Linked DNA regions of Nothobranchius furzeri. Each later gene encodes a partner of the first gene's protein in a complex. Links are inferred from orthologs where the notes say so. Each region holds a gene or a part of one and is shown on either strand. Other genes may lie near its edges.

Region 1 (4,375 bases):
GAGGACATACTGGGTAACCCTGGCTCATCCCTTTAGTTATGCTGTATGGGTTTAGACTGCTGGAGGACATACTGAGTTACCCTGGCTCATCCCTTTAGTTATGCTGTATGGGTTTAGACTGCTGGAGGACATACTGGGTTACCCTGGCTCATCCCTTTAGTTATGCTGTATGGGTTTAGACTGCTGGAGGACATACTGGGTAACCCTGGCTCATCCCTTTAGCTATGCTGTATGGGTTTAGGCTGCTGGAGGACATACTGAGTTACCCTGGCTCATCCCTTTAGTTATGCTGTATGGGTTTCGACTGCTGGAGGAAGTACTGGGTAACCCTGGCTCATCCCTTTAGTTATGCTGTATGGGTTTAGACTGCTGGAGGACATACTGAGTTACCCTGGCTCATCCCTTTAGTTATGCTGTATGGGTTTAGACTGCTGGAGGACATACTGAGTTACCCTGGCTCATCCCTTTAGTTATGCTGTATGGGTTTAGACTGCTGGAGGACATACTGGGTAACCCTGGCTCATCCCTTTAGCTATGCTGTATGGGTTTAGACTGCTGGAGGACATACTGAGTTACCCTGGCTCATCCCTTTAGTTATGCTGTATGGGTTTAGACTGCTGAAGGACATACTGAGTTACCCTGGCTCATCCCTTTAGTTATGCTGTATGGGTTTAGGCTGCTGGAGGACATACTGGGTAACCCTGGCTCATCCCTTTAGTTATGCTGTATGGGTTTAGACTGCTGGAGGACATACTGGGTAACCCTGGCTCATCCCTTTAGTTATGCTGTATGGGTTTAGACTGCTGGAGGACATACTGAGTTACCCTGGCTCATCCCTTTAGTTATGCTGTATGGGTTTAGGCTGCTGGAGGACATACTGGGTAACCCTGGCTCATCCCTTTAGTTATGCTGTATGGGTTTAGACTGCTGAAGGACATACTGAGTTACCCTGGCTCATCCCTTTAGTTATGCTGTATGGGTTTAGGCTGCTGGAGGACATACTGAGTTACCCTGGCTCATCCCTTTAGTTATGCTGTATGGGTTTAGACTGCTGGAGGACATACTGGGTAACCCTGGCTCATCCCTTTAGCTATGCTGTATGGGTTTAGACTGCTGGAGGACATACTGAGTTACCCTGGCTCATCCCTTTAGTTATGCTGTATGGGTTTAGGCTGCTGGAGGACATACTGAGTTACCCTGGCTCATCCCTTTAGTTATGCTGTATGGGTTTAGACTGCTGGAGGACATACTGGGTAACCCTGGCTCATCCCTTTAGTTATGCTGTATGGGTTTAGACTGCTGGAGGACATACTGGGTAACCCTGGCTCATCCCTTTAGTTATGCTGTATGGGTTTAGACTGCTGGAGGACATACTGGGTAACCCTGGCTCATCCCTTTAGTTATGCTGTATGGGTTTAGACTGCTGGAGGACATACTGGGTAACCCTGGCTCATCCCTTTAGTTATGCTGTATGGGTTTAGACTGCTGGAGGACATACTGAGTTACCCTGGCTCATCCCTTTAGTTATGCTGTATGGGTTTAGACTGCTGGAGGACATACTGAGTTACCCTGGCTCATCCCTTTAGTTATGCTGTATGGCTTTAGACTGCTGGAAATACTGGGTAACCCTGGCTCATCCCTTTAGCTATGCTGTATGGGTTTAGGCTGCTGGAGGACATACTGGGTAACCCTGGCTCATCCCTTTAGCTATGCTGTATGGGTTTAGGCTGCTGGAGGACATACTGGGTAACCCTGGCTCATCCCTTTAGTTATGCTGTATGGGTTTAGGCTGCTGGAGGACATACTGGGTAACCCTGGCTCATCCCTTTAGTTATGCTGTATGGGTTTAGGCTGCTGGAGGACATACTGGGTAACCCTGGCTCATCCCTTTAGTTATGCTGTATGGGTTTAGGCTGCTGGAGGACGTACTGAGTTACCCTGGCTCATCCCTTTAGTTATGCTGTATGGGTTTAGGCTGCTGGAGGATGTACTGGGTAACCCTGGCTCATCCCTTTAGTTATGCTGTATGGGTTTAGGCTGCTGGAGGATGTACTGGGTAACCCTGGCTCATCCCTTTAGCTATGCTGTATGGGTTTAGGCTGCTGGAGGACATACTGAGTTACCCTGGCTCATCCCTTTAGTTATGCTGTATGGGTTTAGATTGCTGGAGGATGTACTGGGTAACCCTGGCTCATCCCTTTAGTTATGCTGTATGGGTTTAGACTGCTGGAGGACATACTGGGTAACCCTGGCTCATCCCTTTAGTTATGCTGTATGGGTTTAGACTGCTGGAGGATGTACTGGGTAACCCTGGCTCATCCCTTTAGTTATGCTGTATGGGTTTAGGCTGCTGGAGGACATACTGGGTAACCCTGGCTCATCCCTTTAGTTATGCTGTATGGGTTTAGACTGCTGGAGGACAACATCTCACTCTGTTGACCTCGCATACTGAGGACACGCTAAAACCCGTAGGGGTTTGTTCCCGGGCCAGGTGTGCTCGTGTTTACGACACTGCCTGGTTAAAAAGCTCACCTGGTGCTGACGGTGGTTCTGGTTGGTCTGACCGGAGGCTGGTCTACCGGACCGGAGCAGCAGCGGCAGGAGGCTGCGGGAACACCTCATCGTTGCGCTTTCCGACTAGCTCACAGCTAACAGGACGAGACAACCAGGTGGGCACTTAGGTTTCAGGTAAAATGACATCATCGTTACATTTATGTATGCTGTAGCAGACAGCTAGTGTCGCGCGCTGCCTGAACCGGATGTTCCTCTAACAACAGCAGGCTGAAAAACTCACTGTGAATTCAGTCTCCTTCAAAACTCGTCTCTGTGCTCGCCTCCATGTTAGAAAGCCGCGAGAACGTCCTGTTTCTACACCGAAATACTTCCCCTTGAACAGCGGGAACATTTACCGAGATAATCGTTCCGCTTGGCTTTTTTTTTTTCTTCTGACTCATTTTCGTCTAAAACTCAAGTATTTAATATGAAAATAAAAATGTGCTGCGGAGGCTAATTCATAACAAAAACTATTAAAACTGTAATCATGAAAGGCTAAAATAAAGACTGGTTTTACAGCATCACAAAAGGAATACGTGTTTTTATCATTTAAAGGAGCGACTGTTAGGAATCAGAACAAGCACACCACACAGACTACAGATTATTCATGAAAAACTGACAAGACAACATCAGTGTAGGGGCGACGGTGGCACAGGAGTTAGGTGCTCACCCGTAACCGGAAGGTTGCAGGTTCAAGCCCCGCTCAGTTTGTTGCTGCTGTTGTGTCCTTGGGCAAGACACTCAACTCACCTGCTGCTGTTGCTGGTGGTGGTCGGAGGGACCGGTGGCGCCTGTGCTCAGCAGCCTCACCTCTGTCAGCGTGCCCCAGGGCAGCTGTAGCTCATCACCACCAGGGTGTGAATGTGTGTGTGTGAATGGGTGAATGACTGATTGTGTTGTAAAGCGCCTTGGGGGGTTCCATCACTGTAGAAGGTGCTATATCAAACACAGGCCGTTTATGATTTAAAGACTATGACCTCTGGTTTCCTCCCACCTACCAAAAACATGCATGTTAGGTCAGAGTTGTTGTTTGTCTGTGTCGTGTGTGTGTCCCTGTGACGGAACAGAGACTTCTAGAATGGAAGATCCATTAACTCAAAGACAACAGCAGTCACAGTCAGTTTTATTGTCAATTCTACCACATGTGCAAGACATACAGAGAAATGAAATTGAGTTTTAGTACACACAATTCAGAGATCAGACATACATGGGCAAGACACATGACAAGAATTAGTGACTGTGGTCATTCGCAACACGAGTCGTGCTACCTTAAAAGATGAAAAGGGAATTACATGAGGATAAATTGGGGGAGGGGAAAAAAGGCACACCAGAGTTACTCCCGGCAGGGCGTAGCTTTACTATGCAAAAAAAAAAAAAACGCCTCAAACATATAAGCACGAACATCACAGTTCACAACATGAGACTCCGATGGGGGGGGGGGGGGGGCTGGGATCCTGTTTCCCCAGGGCGAGCAGCCCTGTGTGGCGCTCAGCCAGCTGTATCCACAGGAGGGAGGGAGATCTTGGAGAAGCGCAGAGCACATTTGAGTTCCTGCAGGTTGATGACCTCACTAGAAGTCCACAATCTGAAGGGGGGGGGGGGGGACGGGTTTTCACAACATCTGTTTGCATTCCTTCCTTCATGGGGGTTGTTGTCAGCAGCTCAAGGCTGCCTTGGCGTCAGATTTGGATAACAAGACTTTGTTTGGGTCAGGCTGAGATAATTTTCCTCTCTGCCTTGAAGTCTGTATTGATCATTCAAGTCCTCCAGTTAAGCCAGTTCAGGTTTTAATCATCCCCACACCGTCCGGTGACCCTCTCTG
Region 2 (3,278 bases), on another chromosome or scaffold:
AATTGACCCTCGTGTTTGATAAAAGCTTATTACCAGTGCATTTTAAATCTGCAGCATAATTTTGCTTTATTTTTTTGACTGAGTTGCAATGGAAAAGTGTTTCTGATGAGTTTGGAGAAAATTTCCTATACAGGAAACTCAAATGCATGGATTTTATCTTGTAATTATTTGAATGTTTATTGGAAGAACTGATTAGATGTTTTTGTCTAAAGATGTATGTTACAAATAGCTGAAAATGTTTTAATTGAAAATGCCTCACTGCAGTGTCTCTGATATTTGTAATTTGTCAACTTAAATTTTTTATAACTTGTGTACGAGACCATAATCAGTCTGCTTCACAATATTAGTTTTTTTATCTGTAACATATAGAATTCTATTAAGAAACCCAAAAAATTATAGATTTTCCAAATAAAATTTATCAATAGTCACATTTCCATGCAGGATGATCAGGTTGGAAGAAAACTCAACTGCAGGATTCCTCTAAAACTCCAGGGGGGTTTTATGACCACATTCAGACCTCTAATGGACCAATAAGATCAACAGTAAAGGGAATAGATCCACTCTGCAGAGCCATCAGATATTAAACACATCAAAACATTTACCTGTCCGACTCACCTGGCCAGGTAAAGAGGCTAGAGTCAGACACTCATTAGTCACATTTATTTAAATCAAGAAATGAAAACATTGAAATTGAATCATTTATTTCAAAACAGGATATTTTTGTATATTTGTTGGATCTTATTACAATACTTGAAAGCAGTGATTTAGTTGATCACATTTTGAATGAAGAATTATTTTAGCCTCCCAAACACTCTCTCAAAGCCCTGCTTGTCAACAACGCGTCCGTAATAAGTAGAAAAATACATTGTCTCTGGACTACTGTATCTCTTCAGTTTCAGTATGGTCTCATTCTCCATGTCTCCTGTGTCCCAGATGGTCAAAACGTCTGACACGGGTAGGTAGGTGTCTTGACGCTTGCCCCAAAAAGTGAGGTGAGAAACTTTGAGTGTGGTCTGGGATGGATCCAGGTACATCATCCCCACAACCCTTCTAAAGAAGTGACTCATAGTATACAGCATGACACCAGCAAACAGTGCAATCCCCGTAGAGTAGCATACTAGAAAGAAGGACACGTCACCCTGGAAGTAAAGGAAATACATGGGTGGAATGATGACCGCAGTGATTGCAGTTTGGAGCAGTTTGAGCCTGGACACGACTCTGAGAAGCTTAATGTGTGGCAGCGTGTAAATCATAGAGAATTTCTGCGTGGATAGGTCTGAGTATCTGACGGAGGTTGTGATTTTAGGAGTGAGGGGTCCATGGGAGGTCTGATGGATGGGTGTATGACCTGAAAAATGAGACTGTAAACCATTAGACACTCGTCCAGAGAGTAAACATGATCCTCTTGTGCAGGACAGGGTGTGGTGGGTTAATCTGCTCAGCAACATCGACCTGATCTGTGGGGGAAAAAAAACATTAAATACGACATTCAGTCAGGCAATATGCAGTCACCTAATTGAGCCAAATATTAACAGCAGAATAAAGTCTCGATCTGTTTTACATTAAAACTGTTAACCCTTATTCAGAATGAGGTCAAATTAATCTCCTAGCTGAATCAAATCAAGCTCAAGGGCATTTCGCGGGTAGGATTGTTTGATCTATTTGATCCACCAATTCCTTTGAATTTGATAACACTGTAATAACAGTAATATTAATAGTCTCACTATGATGCTCACCATGGCCAACGACTGGTTAATTCACAGGTAAAGTCAAAAATAGTCCCAAGTCCACTTTTGGCATGAAGACGTCCAGCTTTGTGACCCGGATGTTACAACCGTGTGTTCCTAAAGATCTCGTTTACTCTCCTCACATTAGAAACATTAGTAAAGTATACATTTTAATTTAAAAAATGTATGAAATTGTTCACACTGAATAAGAGCTGCAAACGGCATGTAGCGAACCTATTTAGAACCACATCCGGGGATGCGCCGAGATGTGTTTCGGTCCGTCGAAAAATGTTTTCCCCACTTAATGAAATATATTTCAAGCCTCCGAGATATGTTCTCCAGCAAAGTGGGATTTACAGTTGTTTTAGTGTAGAAGAATAAATGTCATTGAATGTGTGATTCGTGAAATAACGAGTTAGTTTTATTGGTTTACTTTGACAAAGGTCGCGCCTGTTTTACGTAACATCCGGTCACAGCCGTTACGACGTGCCACCTGAAATGTTGTCCTCCCGTTTGGTCGTTCAGCGGCTCAACCGTCCTAGCAGTTTCTAGCTTTCTCCGGCTTAGATGTGGTTTAATGCTCCACTTAATAGCTGCTGTCAGAATATAACACGGAGCATGGATGTGTGTGAAACATCGCGTTTTTAACCAAGAAAAATAGCTTAACAGGAAAGAAAATGTCAAACTGAAGAAAATCTGCGCTCGTGAACCCAAGAAGTCGTCTACAATGCTTCAGCTGGGAGATGAAGTCACCCTCTACTCACTTGTCCTCGTGGTGGTCCTGCTGGGGACGCGGAGTCCGGTGTGGTCGGCTGTCCTCACCGCTTCCCTCTACTTCTTTCTAGCCATGTTTCGGTTCCCGCAGGTGACGACCAGCCGAGCCCGGCAGGTGTTGCATCCAGACTCCCGTGCAGTGGGCAGCGGTAAGGTGTCTGTGATCGCTCACCGGGGCGGAGGACACGACGCACCGGAGAACACAATAGCAGCCATACGGGAGGTGAGAAGGGACACTGGGGAGGGAAGACGTTAAACCGTTAACCTTCACACGACCTAGAGCGGCTGTTTCTTCTAATGGCGAGATTTAGTTAGTCATTGATTAAAAATGTAATACCTCCACTTTAATACACATTTGTGTAACACCCGCAGATCAGCCCCCAAGATGTTACATGAAGTGAGTCTGACCAACCAGCATTAATGTGGGCAATGAAGCACAGAATCGGATCGCTTCAAAAATAGATAATTTATTAAAGATTGCAAAAGCTAAAAGTCCAAATAAAAGCTCGGTCTGTGCAGGTTGTGCCTACAAAACAGGGCAGGGAGACCAGTTCAAATCCAGGGGGAAGTTGAATTGTCTTCACCAAACCAACATGTATGAAGGTAGTGACGATGACTTGAGCTTCCCCCAATCGGCCCAGTGCTGCACCCACACAATTTACACACACTCACACACACACACACAGTGTGATACAGCTCTCCCAGGTTACATTTGCACTATCTAACCATTTAAGGAGATTGAAATCTAAACGTGCTTATTTTCAAATGAACTAAACC

What was found. Proteins that work in one complex are often made in the same cells at the same time.
Region 2: ecsit (region 1) and tmem186 share a complex: the UniProt entries of both Homo sapiens proteins name them as parts of the mitochondrial complex. The link is inferred for Nothobranchius furzeri from reciprocal best matches to the Homo sapiens genes ECSIT and TMEM186.

Annotation. Positions count from the first base shown.
Region 1 is NC_091743.1:88,487,446-88,491,820, reverse strand, and holds the start of ecsit (evolutionarily conserved signaling intermediate in Toll pathway, mitochondrial), read right to left. Parts: upstream 2,911-4,375; 5' UTR 2,795-2,910; intron 2,649-2,794; 5' UTR 2,623-2,648; coding exon 2,533-2,622; intron 1-2,532.
Region 2 is NC_091744.1:5,453,077-5,456,354, forward strand, and holds tmem186 (transmembrane protein 186), read right to left. Parts: upstream 2,003-3,278; 5' UTR 1,740-2,002; coding exon 1,737-1,739; intron 1,458-1,736; coding exon 792-1,457; 3' UTR 646-791; downstream 1-645. Other genes in the region: gde1 (glycerophosphodiester phosphodiesterase 1), read left to right, coding at 2,455-2,724. UniProt on the Homo sapiens protein: As part of the MCIA complex, required for efficient assembly of the mitochondrial complex I.